2 linked regions of the Lonchura striata genome follow. The protein of the gene in region 2 interacts with the protein of the main gene of each other region in a biochemical or structural test. Links are inferred from orthologs where the notes say so. Each region holds a gene or a part of one and is shown on either strand. Other genes may lie near its edges.

What was found.
Region 1: the proteins of TDRD3 (region 2) and TOP3B form a complex in vitro, tested with the Homo sapiens proteins (2 studies listed by BioGRID and IntAct, with this or other methods). The link is inferred for Lonchura striata from reciprocal best matches to the Homo sapiens genes TDRD3 and TOP3B.

The regions. Positions count from the first base shown.
Region 1 is NC_134620.1:7,280,929-7,288,275, reverse strand, and holds the start of TOP3B (DNA topoisomerase 3-beta-1), read right to left. Parts: upstream 3,019-7,347; 5' UTR 2,938-3,018; coding exon 2,868-2,937; intron 2,207-2,867; coding exon 2,075-2,206; intron 1,857-2,074; coding exon 1,750-1,856; intron 1,334-1,749; coding exon 1,259-1,333; intron 327-1,258; coding exon 130-326; intron 1-129. UniProt on the Homo sapiens protein: Releases the supercoiling and torsional tension of DNA introduced during the DNA replication and transcription by transiently cleaving and rejoining one strand of the DNA duplex.
Region 2 is NC_134604.1:55,890,683-55,897,867, forward strand, and holds the start of TDRD3 (tudor domain-containing protein 3), read right to left. Parts: upstream 3,013-7,185; 5' UTR 2,922-3,012; coding exon 2,881-2,921; intron 1-2,880. UniProt on the Homo sapiens protein: Scaffolding protein that specifically recognizes and binds dimethylarginine-containing proteins. Plays a role in the regulation of translation of target mRNAs by binding Arg/Gly-rich motifs (GAR) in dimethylarginine-containing proteins.

The DNA of each region.
Region 1 (7,347 bases), on a different chromosome or scaffold from region 2:
TCCTACTTCGTGGAAAGTAGGGGCGGGGAGGCAGTGAGTGGCTGTGTGGGGTTTGGCTGGCATTAAACCATGAGGGCACAGAGCCCCTCTTGAACCTTTGACAAAACTGTCTGCAGTCTGTGCTGTCACCTTGTGAAGGCACAGCCAATCCTCAGATCCAGCTCCTGGCGAGCATCCACGGACAGAGCTTCGTTGCGATTGGGCTCTCCCAAGTGATTCATGGCATTGCAGATGTCTGTGTCGGTGATGGAGCTGAATTTAGCTCTGTAAATCGTCCTCTCCGTGCCACGAGGCTTGTTCATGACAGGAAGAACAGCATCAAGAACCTAAAGAAAATCAGAAGTGTACTTAAAAAGGATTTGAAAGATAAAGGCTTTCTCTCTAAAGATAAAAAAAAAACATTCTCCACAAAATATTTGTTTCTGTGTCACTGCTTTCTTATTTCAGCAAGATGTCATGCTCACACATTAACTGATAAGCCAGAGCAGTATTTGTCCATCCACTCAAAAGCATATAAAGAATTAACAAAACTGAAGGGATTATCTACTATACAGCAACTGCTGGGAGCAAATCAGTATTTTTGGCTAAGGGCAAAGACATTCAGCAGTGCAGCTGCAGCAGCTTTTGGTGAACATGTACCAATGTCTATCTGGGTTTATTCTACTCATTGCTAAGCACAAGTAATGACACAGGGGTAAGAAAGGAACTTACAATAATCACTTCATAAAACATGTTTCTTTAATCTAAAGAAAATCTCCAAACAAGTACTCTTCATGTAGGCTTCTGGGAATTGGATGTTAAAAAAAATCTTAGCAAAGTTTTTGTTCTATGTGTTCTCTGCTTTTTATGTGCAGAAGCAAAATTTAAGCAGCATGATTATACTTGCAAGCAGCTTCTGTGCTCCAAGGAATCTAATTGCTTAATAAACAAAAGATAACAGATGAAGTTTTATAAGGACATAAAAATAACTTCTCCAGCTGTGAAATACAGGCCAATTATTGAAGTACTGGAATGTTCTAACATTTAAGAGGCCTGATTCTTCATCTGAGATGAGCAACACCTCTGAAATTTATTTATACTCTTTAACTGACATCTTACAGAGTTAAAAGCATGTGGGCTTTTCCACCAAGGCCCTCTATGCCTTTAAAACTTTATTCAAGTTTAGTTTGAATTTTACTGTACACTCATAAAACAATGCATTGATAGTCTTGTCAGACATATATTATGGTGTTGTGAGTCTTAAAAATTGAAACCTTACTTCAAAACAGATGTTTTCTCCTTCCTTATCACAATCCAACCACAAGACAATACAATCACAGCCTCTTCCCTCCACCTGTGAGAAAAATCAGCACAGTTCTTCAGCAACTCAAAACAACATCTCCCCCCTCCCTACCCATATATTTTTTTCCTGGTTTCAGCATGGTGTGTGAAGTGTGAACAGTAACCAACACAGACTTATTTTAAAGAAGGCATTTATAAGCTGTGCTTACACTTGCTGTTATAAAGTTAAACTTGCATCCAGTGCTCCAACTCTCAGAAGCAGAATATCAACTGTCAAAAAACTCAGAAGGCAATGGGAAAAGTGACTTTAACATAGATTTTAGACAGCGCAAGAATCAGCAAAAATAAATTATTTATATTATGTTAATAAAATAGATCTAACTGTGACAAAAAGCTACTCCCTGGAAGAATTTTTATTTAGGCACATAGAAAATGCTAACTTTAAATTCTACTCCTAAGAAAGAATACCTGTAAAAATTTCACCATGGTCAGTTTGGGATTAGCTTCTTTCTTTTCTGTGGGAGCTTTACTAAAAAGTTCTGCTGGATCCACTTTGTCCCAGCTGTTATATTTTCCTGAAAAGCAAAAGTATATAAAATGGAGCTCTGAAGAAATATTTATAAAACAAACAGCTTCACATTGCAAAACACTTGGCTTTCAAAATTTATGTGGAAAATTTTCTACACTAACAGATCTTGCTTTACTGTATACCAAGAAACCTCTTCGTTTTTCTGAAGGACCTGGCAGCTCTACAAGCCATATTAGTTAAAACATTTGACGAGCAGGCAAATACCTATGAAATCCAAAGTCATGACGTGACCACACACCGATGTCATCTTGAAGTGGGCGCTCTGTCCTATGAAGGACCCGGTGTACTCGTGCACAGAGCACGCACCGTTGAGTCCCTTGCGAGAGGACATGTTCCCTGTGAAAATAAGATCATAAATATTAATGAGGTAGAAAAAACCCCAGCTAGTGAAACAAATAGTTTTGTGTGAAATTAAATCTTCCTTTCCTTAGATCTTACAGCTACGGTCTTTCTGATCATTGATCCTTTCTGATAATTGATGAGAAAGATCTACTCATTGATAAAACTTTCATTTCAGTAAGTATCAATTCAGGGCTTTCCTAAAGGATATTTTATCTTCAAATTAAACTATCCATTATCTCCACCAGCCTTTCCCTCCCACCATGAAACCTTACGAAAATACAGCTAGTTTTCTAGAACACACACTTATAATAACTTTATTTTCCATATTTATAAAACTTTTACTTCACAGATCTCAGAACAGCCACTGCCTACTTGATCGGCACTTTCCAGACACCGCATGCTCTAAGGCAAAATACTGAAACTAGATTCCTTTATTCTTGGATTAAACAGGCATCAGCCCATAGAAACAATCAGAACGTGATGGGACATCCCGTTCTTTGATGAACCTCTCCGAAGCCAGCGCTGCCAGGGGGCTCCGGCCCCAAGACAAGGCAGCCGCTGCCCAGGGTGCCTGTGCAAAGCCGGCAGCTCGCACTCACCGCCGCGCTCCGGCCGGGCCGGCCCCGCGGCGGGCACGGGCACCCGCCCCGCCTACCTCTGGAGAGGATCTTGGCGATGGACTGCGCCAGCGACGGCTTCTCCGCCACCATCAGCACGGTCCTCATCTTCGCCGCCGCGGCGCGGAGCCGCGGGCACGGCCCGGCGGAGCCGGGGAGGGACGGAGCGCCGCTCAGCCCGCCCGCGCCGGGCCACGGCGGCACCGCGGGCACGGGCACGGGCGCACCGCGCCCCGAGCGCCCGGCACAGCGCCCCGCCGAGCGGCCTCCGCGGGCGGCCCGCCGCGTCACTGCCGGTCACGGCGCCGGAAGGCGCGGGCGGCTCCCAACCGCCGCGGCGGCGCGCAAGGCGCGGGACACAGACGTGCGCCGGGGCTAGGGCGGACACACGGACACACAGAGACACGGACACACAGAGACACGGACACACAGAGACACGGACATACACACACGGACACACAGAGACACGGACACACAGAGACACGGACATACACACACGGACACACAGAGACACGGACACACAGAGACACGGACACACAGAGACACGGACACACAGAGACACGGACACACAGAGACACGGACATACACACACGGACACATGTGCGGACACACGGACACACAGAGACACGGACACACAGAGACACGGACATACACACACGGACACATGTGCGGACACACGGACACGTGCGGACACACGGACACACAGAGACACGGACACACAGAGACACGGACACACAGAGACACGGACATACACACATGGACACACAGAGACACGGACATACAGAGACACGGACACACAGAGACACGGACACATGTGCGGACACACAGACATACACACACGGACACACAGAGACACGGACACACAGAGACACGGACATACACACACGGGCACACAGAGACACGGACATACACACACGGACACATGTGCGGACACAGACATACACACACGGACACACAGAGACACGGACACACAGAGACACGGACATACAGAGACACGGACATACACACACGGACACACAGAGACACGGACACACAGAGACACAGACACACAGAGACACGGACATACACACACGGACACATGTGCGGACACACGGACACACAGAGACACGGACACACAGAGACACGGACACACACACACGGACACACAGAGACACGGACACATGTGCGGACACACAGACATACACACACGGAGACATGTGCGGACACACGGACACACAGAGACAGACACGGACAGACAGAGACACGGACACACAGAGACACGGACACACAGAGACACGGACACACACACACGGACACACAGAGACACGGACACACAGAGACACGGACATACACACACGGACACACAGAGACACGGACACACAGAGACACGGACATACACACACGGACACACAGAGACACGGACACATGTGCGGACACACAGACATACACACACGGACACACAGAGACACGGACATACACACACGGACACACAGAGACACGGACACACAGAGACACGGACACACAGAGACACGGACACACAGAGACACGGACATACACACACGGACACATGTGCGGACACACGGACACACAGAGACACGGACACACAGAGACACGGACACACAGAGACACGGACATACACACACGGACACACAGAGACACGGACACATGTGCGGACACACAGACATACACACACGGAGACATGTGCAGACACACGGACACACAGAGACAGACACGGACACACAGAGACACGGACACACAGAGACACGGACATACACACACGGACACACAGAGACACGGACACATGTGCGGACACACAGACATACATGCACGGAGACATGTGCGGACACACGGACACACAGAGACAGACACAGACACACAGAGACACGGACACACAGAGACACGGACATACACACACGGACATATGTGCGGACACACGGACACATGTGCGGACACACGGACACACAGAGACACGGACATACACACACGGAGACACAGACACACAGACATACACACACGGACACATGTGCGGACACACAGACATACACACACGGACACATGTGCGGACACACGGACACACAGAGACACGGACATACACACACGGACACATGTGCGGACACACGGACACACAGAGACACGGACATACACACACGGACACATGTGCAGACACACAGAGACACGGACACACAGAGACACGGACATACACACATGGAGACACAGAGACACAGACATACACACACGGACATGTGCAGACACACAGACATACACAGAGGCTTGTGCGGACATATGGACACACAGAGACACAGACATACACACACGGAGACATGTGCGGACACACGGACACGCACAGAGACACAGACATACATACACAGAGACACACACACACAGAAACGTGTGGACACACACAGACATACACACACAGACATACACAGGCACATATGCGGTTACAAGGACACACAGAGAGACAGACACAGACAGACACACAGACACATACGTACGCACAGGCGTGGATACACACACATTTACACATATAAACTCACCCACACATATACACACTCATACAGAGACATATACAGGTATACACGGACATATACACACATACATAGATGTACATGCAGAGACACATACACACACATATAAGCACTCACAGACATACAAATATATACATATATATATATATATACATATATATATATATATACACACGCATTCTCTCACACTCAGACCCCCCGGGGCTGGCGCCCCCCGCTGCAGCGCCCCCTGGCGGCTCAGGGCGGCGCGACCCCCGCGCTCCCGGCGGCGGGGCCGGGCCGGGCCGGGCTGGGCGCGGCCGCCGCTCGGGTCACTCGCAGGGACACCGGCACAGGGGCACCGGCACAGGGACACCGGCACAGGGACACCGGCACAACGCACCGCCTCCCCTTCCTGCCGAAGCCCGTGGGGAAGCTGTGCCGCGGGAACCGCCGGTGCCGTGCCGCATGGTGTGCAGATGCCCCCTTCCTTCATCCACACCGGTGCACAGAACGTGTATCACCCAACCCCTCTAAGGGAACACACACACAAGTTGTATCTGCTGTGTTCGAGCGACACGGACCGCTGTGCCTGTGCCAGTCTGTCACTCAGGTTACAGTTCCTGCAGACCCGAAACGCTACAAACAGTGTCGGACACTGACAGCATCTCCTTTAACACAGATAAATTCACCTTAGGACTCTTAAGAGCACCTGCTTCCCTTGCACCCTGATTAGATCATGGAAACAATATTGAGTGATTCTTGAAAAAGTGTATTTTTTTTGCACATTAGATTTTAGATTAACGTTGATGTCTCATTTAAGCAGAAATACAAAAAAGAGAAAAAACAGTGGGAAGAGAAGGGTCAGGCTGGGCAGAAGCACACCCTTCCCTCGTGCCTCCTTTCCCCAGGGAGAAGGCAAGGGCTCCCCCGGGGGATTTTGCCCCTGAAAGCTGCAGCTCCTTTCTCCAAGTCATGGAGGGACTCTTTGCTCTGTCCTGTTTCCCAGGGATGCTGGGCCCTGTTAAGGAGATTTGGTCAGTGGACTGAAGCTGTTTCTAACCTTTCCTGCATCTTTCAGCTCTTCCACACATCCTGAAATCTGTCTAGGGAAGAGATAAAGAGGGAAGCCCCAGGTTGATGGGTTTTTATAAGCACTTTGTGGAAAGAGCTCAGCTCTCTATTTTTACCCCCGTGGTTGTGCATCGATCGTTGCCAATGTTTATAGCACTTTTCCCAGAGCTGCTCAGTACCATAAAAACCCAAAGAGAAGAGATTGGGAAGCAGCCAGGATCAGGATGTATATCAACCTCATGCTGGCTGAAATAAAAAGGAACTAATTCACCTTCAATTTGATTAGTAGACAATTAATAGACACTGAAGTTGTTAGCGAAAGGAAAAATCAAAACAAGCCCAGGCCTTTTAATTCTTTGGCAATATTAAAGTTCGAACATATTAAAACAAATGTGTTCTTCTCTTTCAATGCCTGGTTCCCTTTGACATCTGGGGAACATCTGGAACAATCAGGATGCGAGTTAAAACCAAGTCTTCAGATATGTCAGATACATATTTTTTAATTTCCTCTGGTAAAAGCCCTCTACAAAATCCAACCTTCCTTTTTTCTTTGAATGCTCAACGAAACATGAAATTTCAACTTGCGTTCACCCGGGAAAGCACAGCCGGGACTCTCCCCCACGTGGCCGAGGGACTCCGGACACTCTGAGTCCCCGTGTACCCCGGGCTGGTACAGATGCGTGTGGCTGTTCCTGGGGCCACACAGGGGCTGCCCCGGCCCGAAGGGATCCCGCTGCCGGACACCCACGAGCCCTGCGGGGCCACCGAGTCACGGAGTCTCTTGGAGCGCTTTCAAAGTTGTCCGGAAAGCCTCACCCCGTTCCTATCCCTCCGGCATGGAGCTGCGCCAGTCCCAGCAGCGCGGAAGGGACCGGGACAGAGCGGGACCGGGACCGGGACCGGGAGGGAGCGGGACCGGGACGGGACAGAGCGGGACCGGGACCGGGACCGGGACCGG
Region 2 (7,185 bases):
CAAACTACAGGAGCCTTTTACTCATTTTCATAAAATACCACCATCATCATAAAAAGAAAAAAATGTCTCCCAGCTTTACCTACCACTGTTATGTTTACTAGGTAGGGCTCCTTTACCTTTCAGAAGCTGACAAAAAATGTAATTGATATACTGAAGGCAAACATTACAAATTCAGAGACAATTTTATAACAGATTACTCTGACAATACCTGCTTGGGGGAGGGGAATAGATCTATAATTACTGTTCAGTATTAACTACACTTTATTACTGTTCTACTTGAAAAATAACTTTATTTTTCATTCAGAATTATAAAAGGTAAACACTAGTTGCAGAAACTGAAATAAACAAGTGTCTACCTTAACTCTCTAATTCTGTAATGTATAAGAAACTTACTGTAAAATCCACAGTACAGGTAGATTTTTACAAGCTAGCAGATTTTAAGCTAAGCAAAGATTTTTTACTTGACATGCCATGCAGTGCTTTTGCAGTTTAAGTGGGGATAGATTTTAACACATAAACTCAGTTTTTCTTTTGTACTAGAAATATTATCATTCTGACAGCAGGTGACAGCAGCAGTAACCACCAATTTGGTACAAAACTTTACTTAATCACCAACACTAAACCGACATTAAACATCACTGAAGGCTCACTCACAGATGTGTAAATAACTCTAAGATCTAATAATATGAGAAAAATCATAAGAGCAACAGCAAAGCAGTTAGAAGCATGGGTGCTCAGGTTACTACTCTTTTTTTAAGTGCATGAACACAGCTAAGCAAGATTTCCAAATCATTATTTATTTTTCCACTCCACTTCACATTCCTCAAAAGTATATGTATTAATTCCTCCCCTTTTATACTACCTTTCCCAATACAACCTGGTCAAGGCATAATTCCAGTGGACCTGATAATGAGCCCATTACTTGCCCCTTCAACTTCAGCCTCTGGCTCCCACCCTACAGGACTGCAAGAGTAACAACTGTTGACAGCCATTCAAAAGTCTCTGCCACCAAGGAGGGCAGCAAACACTGCAAAGGGACAGATTGTTTCAGAGGCACCTCATATTTGTACTGCCAAAAACTTGAAAGCCATTAAGCAATGGCATGCATTCAGCTGAAAAGGCAGCAAAACAACTCAAGAGCTGAAAACTGGGAAAAAATTTTGAATAGGCAATAGAAAGCAAGAAAAGAAAACTAAGAAAATAAAACTACTTTTATGTAAAACTTTTCCAATTTTGGAGAGGTCTACATAACAGAAGAGTAGAGGGGCAAGTTTCAAGTCACAGTCCAAAATTCCCGTCAAATAAGCAAATGTTATAAAAAGTAGCAGAACTAGTTTTGATTGTATCAATTTGGCAATAGCCAGGAGTCATAGGACTGTGCTCTCCAGAACCATTTAGAACAATGTTTTGGCTCTTGATACACTTATTCAAGAGGCATAGCAAAGGACACCTAATTACTCTGTTTGGTTACTATTACCACAAAGTAGCAAAAGCTGGCCCAACAAACACAGCATCACCAGGGGGTTAAAGGAGGTGATTCCCACTTATTCAGCACTGGTGGGGCCTTACCTGGACTACTGTGCAAAAAACTGGAAAGCTACATGAAGGTCCTTAAATGTGGAGGAGGGCAACAAAGCTGGTGGCATGTCCTGTGAGGAGCAGCTGAAGACTTTGGCTTGTCTCGATAGGAGAACAGGAGGCTGAGGGGCAAACCGCTTTCTACAGCCTCCTGAGTGGGGGAAGCAAAGACAGATTCTGCCTGGATCTAGTGACCAGATGAATGGGGATGGTTCAGAGCTGTGCCAGAGAGCGTTCAAATTGGATATAAGGAAGCATTTCTTTATACTGAGGGCATAATCAAACACTGGAAGAGGTTTCCTAGGGTGGCAGTCAAATGTTTAAGAGGAATTTGGCCAGTGTCCTTAATAACATACCAAGATTTGGTCAGCCCTGAATTCATCAAGTGACTTGACTAGATGATCATCATAGGTCCCTTCTAAGTAAATTGTCTTGTTCTATTCTAAATCACAGGATACCCACTTTAACTTTTTCCATCTTAGACCGTACATGAAACCACAATCTAGGACAACCACTAATGTAAACAGTAAACCAGAAATATCTCAAACATGCCGTTGGAAATAACTTTGCGTACATTGCTTTGTGCTTTAGCAGGCAGCACTAAACTTTAGGTTTGTCGAAAGACTTTCCAAGTAGTTATGGGAAAAAGTCAGTATTGACTAATAAGTGAATCACTTCAACAAAATAATCAAACAAACAAACAAAAAAGCCCCAAATCAAAATAAAAACTTCCTACAATGCAATCTCAGCTGTAGGCTAGCAAATAAGCGTTTACAGTAGGTATTTGAAAAGCACAACTCGTTGAAACACGTTGTTCCAAAATGGATATTGTGTGCCCAGCGACTGGGACTCTTAAGAAAACATAAGCAACCGAGTTCAAGCCTCACGTGTGGTTCATTTACCCCACCTTAACTCCACTTTTGCTTCTTGCCTGCCTTACAGAAGGGGCGCACGGTGCAGTTTACAGCCCCAGCAGTACGGGCAGGCGCCAGGCCTGCGGGCGAGGCCAGTCCCGGGGCAGGCGGGGAGGCCGCCGCCGATCCCGAGGAACCTCGGGGGTGGCCGCGGGGTAGGGGTGCCGGTCCTCGCGGCAGGGCCGGCGGGACGGGCCGGGAGCTGCTCTCCAGGGCGAGCCAGCGCCAGGCCCGAGCGCAGCGGGCGGCGCAGCCCCTGCCCGGCGCCGAGGGGCTCCCAGCGGAGCTGGGGCGGGACATCCCCCGCACCGCACGGCTCGGACACGGGCGCTGCCCGCCCCGCACCCCGGGCGGAGGCGGCGGCGCGGCCGAGCTCGGCCCCACTTACCAGCCCGACTCGGAGAGCGCCGCCCGCGCCCGCTCGGCCATGGCGCCTCCCCCGCCGCACTCGGGGCCGCGGGCGCTGCGGAGACCCCCGGCACTCGCTCGCAGGGGAGGAGGGACGCGGGGCCCGCTCGTTCCCTCGCCCCGCGGGCCTCTCCGGGCGCTCGGGCCGGCCAGGGGAGGGAGGGAGGGAAGGGGAGAGGGAGGGAGCGGAGGGAAGGAAGGGGCGGGGGCGGCGCAGGCAGAGACGAACAAAGCCCGCGACCGGCGGCTGCTTGGAAGCCGCTGCCGCCATGGCGGGGAAGGGAAGCAGTGAGGGCAGCGCGGCCGGGGAGCGCCGGCCCCGCTCCGGCGGCTGGCTCCTGCCGCCGTGCAGTGTCGGAAGGGCTTGCTTAAACGCGTTCCGGCTATGGATAGCATTATTGACAGTAGCGTTGTTCTGGAAAAGGCTCTCCTTCGGGCCCTCAAACGCGTGCTGCGGGCGAGGAGGGATTTTTAGAAGGGTCTGGAGCACACGTCAGATGAGGAGCAGCTGCGGGAGCTGGGAATGTTTGGCCTGGAGAGGAGGAGGCTCGGGAACACCTTCTCGCTCTTGACAGCTTCGTGAAAGGAGCTCGTAGCCAGGTGGGGGTCGGCCTCTTCTACCAAGTGACAAATGGTAGGATGAATGCAAATGGCCAGGAAATGGCCTCAAGTTGTGCCACAGGAGGTTTAGATGTCTAAACCTCCTATTTTTCCTAAAAGAAAGCTTTTTAGGAAAAACTTATTCACAGAAAGAGTGAAGCATTGGAAAGGCTGCCCAGGGAAGTGGTGGGATTCCTGTCCGTGCAAGTATTCAGAAAAGCTGTAATGTGGCGCTTAGGGGCATGGTTTAGTGGTAGACTTGGCAGTGCTCCTTAATGGTTGGGCTCATTGTTAATGGTCTTTCGCAACATTAATAATTCTTTTTGAAAGACTGGTTCTATGTTTCTTTTATTTTTGGCAATTTGTTGTTTGCGTTGTTTTCTTTAATGATTTGCCCTAAAATGCTGGGCACCGATATGAATATTTTGGGAGGGTTTTATGTGTATTTTTAAAGGGAATTATACTTTAACAGAATAGCACTCTTTCATCATTGCTGTTACAAGTGCCCAGTGCCCTCCGGTGCCAGTGATATGTGAGGTGGGAACACCGTCGCCCTGTTTACTCTGTGTTCCAGCATCCAGAGAAAGAGCCAGAAGGTGAACATGGGCAGGTCAGGAGTTAAGAAAATGCTTATCAAGGCCTGGGTGCTCAGGGTTTCTGCCTGCAGGTGAGGTCAGCTGCTCTGCAGAAAACACTGACCATTTGCATTAGTGCATCATGTCCAGCTACTTCTGTAACCCATCAATGCCAAATGGTTTTTTTTCAGCACTGAGGTTTTGAAACTTGTCTATCTGCTGTGTTTGTCTATTAAAGGTGGTCTTTTCTTTATGGGTTATTTTCACCCTCAAGATGTTTCAATTTTTATGCAGCATCTTCAAGCCAAAGCTTAATTTGCTTTTGTTGAGGGTTTTTTTGAGTCTTCTTTGGTTTCATTGTTTGATCTACCTGAAAACCTCTCTTTGCCATACTGAGTACAAATCACTCAGGATTTTTGCACACAACACTCTGTGCTGCTCATTCATGGTATTTTCTTTTGTGTCTATAGGTTATGTACTCTAGGACAAAAATTTTGTCATAAGTAGGTATGGTGTGGCCTGTGTAGATGCTAATTTTAAGAAAACACGTATATCTATAAGTTGATAATTGATAATAAATCTTGACACAGATGAAGGAAATAAAACCTATATTATTCAACTGAACAATGCATAATGCTATATATATTCTTGAAGCTTTCTTGGTCATGAGCATTAACATAAACCTAAAATAAAATTTAAAAAAAAAGGCAGCTTAAAAATGGAAGACTAACATGGGATTTCTGCCAACAAAATCTCAAAATAATGAATGTAGCCATAGGAAAGTGTTAATCCTTGTGGTCATTAAATAACCACAAAAAAATAGCAGAGGGAGCATTATTATTTGGGAAAGTGGATTATCAGAGGTTGTGCAGTCCTATGTCATGACAAGGCTCCAGGTGAGCATACGCTCATAAGCTGCAAAAGGAATAGAACTAGAAGAGAACTAGCCCACCCAAGAGCCCCGAAACAGACCTACTGTATGTCTGTACAAAAGAAACTCTTGAATTAGTGACGAGGAATACCCTAAAGCAGAAGAGTCACACTGAAATGTCAGTGGCCAAGTCACACCCATGTTGCAGCAGTAACAGCCACTGACATGGAAAAGCACTAGCAGATAAGTGTGGTTTCAGTTCAGAACTTATGATGCAAAAGAAATGGGAATAAAAAGAACTTGCATTTGGAGTCTGACCTGTCTGCACATTAGATTATCAAGATAAGGTTGTAAATATTGTAACTCAAAATGGGATGCCCATAGAGCCAATTAGTAAGGGATGGAGTATGACCTAGGAGAAGATAATGAGAATTACAGACCTTTTGCATTGCCTAGTGTTAGTTTAAGACATGGAAGGTTTTGCTTACTTAAATCTTCATTAAAGTCACCAGGCAATTATACCAGCAGTTTATGCTGGCATAGGGCTAGCTGTTGCACCTCATGGCACTAAACACCATCTATTATAAAGAAAATGTATATGCTTCTTAAAGGTCTGCAGGCATCTGCTCTAACAAATTAATTATATGCAAGCTGAGATGTGTTTGTGTATGTATTCACATGTGCCTCCTTTTGTACAGGAGAAGTCCCCATTAGTGGATGTTTCTCTGCTCACAGAGGGCACTGCCTGAGCTTTGTAGTTTGTAGCTGCTGCTGGCTGTGCTGAACCGAGGTGAGCAATTAGTTCCACTGTAAAACAAAAGGTGATGCAGTGCCTGCCAGACAGTCAGAAACCTGCAGCTAAGACCCTCAGTACCAGCTGTTTGTGATAAAACGTTCTTAGAGTATATTCTCTGTATCGATCACCTTTAGAATAAGCGACGTTGCTGAAGGTAATGAGCACCAAAGTACCTGGGGCTGTACAGGGACCAGTCTAAACTTCTGCACTCCTGTAAGGGGCTCTATGCCTTCAGAGCTTTCTCTGGAAAATGCTTGTTGCTCCAGATGAATCAGTGCATCACTGTCCACAAAATTCACATGGACTTCTTCTGTCCAAACTGCCTAAAATGCAGTTCTGTTTGACTGCTGCCCATGTGCCCTAGGACAGCTTAATCTGTGCCAAAGAGGTTATTTCACAATGTTCTGTAATTTTAAATACCTGAAAGGGTTGGTCTACTCAAGCACCTCTGGTGAGACAGTTCTAACAGAACTAGCACTCAGCACAAGACAGCAAGAGCCAGGTTTTGAAGCAGCCCTGTAGGCTCCTTGATTCATTGAATTGATTCATCCTTACTCCCTTCATCTCCTGCCAGTTCCAGGCTCAATTCTCTTGGTTAACAGTAGGCTCACAAAACTGGGGAGCTGAAACTTTTGACCGCACTTTCCAGAAATGAGCAAGAGCAGAAACCTGTAACACTCATCATGAGTTATGGCATCTTTCATCCCTACCTGATGTGCTGAAAGCACCAACATTGGGATGAAGACCCTGAATACCAGGTATAATAGGAGGTCCCCACAGCAGCAGCAAGTCTGTTTTGGTCTCAATTTCTGTCTTCCATAAAATATGCTTTCTTCATTGCGTTATCTGAAGGGAACAGGTCTGCTTACTGAACATAAAAGCAGATTATCCTTATCCTGGATCTGGAGCTGAAAGTTACTGGGCACTGAATGGAAAGGGCCTTTCTTTCTGGTCACTATTTCTAGGAGTGTGCTGGAGTTTGAACAAAAGTGGTGGCCTCTCCATGGTCTGTGATGGACTGGGTCCTAAACTGATTTGACTGCAGTCAGAAGGATTAGCTTTTCTACCTGTATTGTTGCATGTCAGCTAAAATATTGTGTATGATTTATGTGAAGGACAGTACTCAGCACACAGTCTTTCTTATATGGCAGCTAGAGAAGAGATTAACTTTTCACAGACTAATAAGAAGAAGGGAGATTTACAGAACTAAAGATTTTCTTCATGGGGGAGAGGAAGGAGAGAGGCTTGGAAAGAAGCAGGATGGAGGAAAGACAAACAGCAAGTACGTATCCTACATGGAAATGGTAAAGGATTATGAAGTCTTGGGCATAATACCATCACCTATAGCCACAGACTGTTGTTAAGGTGGTGTTGCAAGGAGAGAGAATTTTCACTAAAGGCCAAGACTAACATTTTTGTCAGGCTGCTCTAATTGATTTGTCA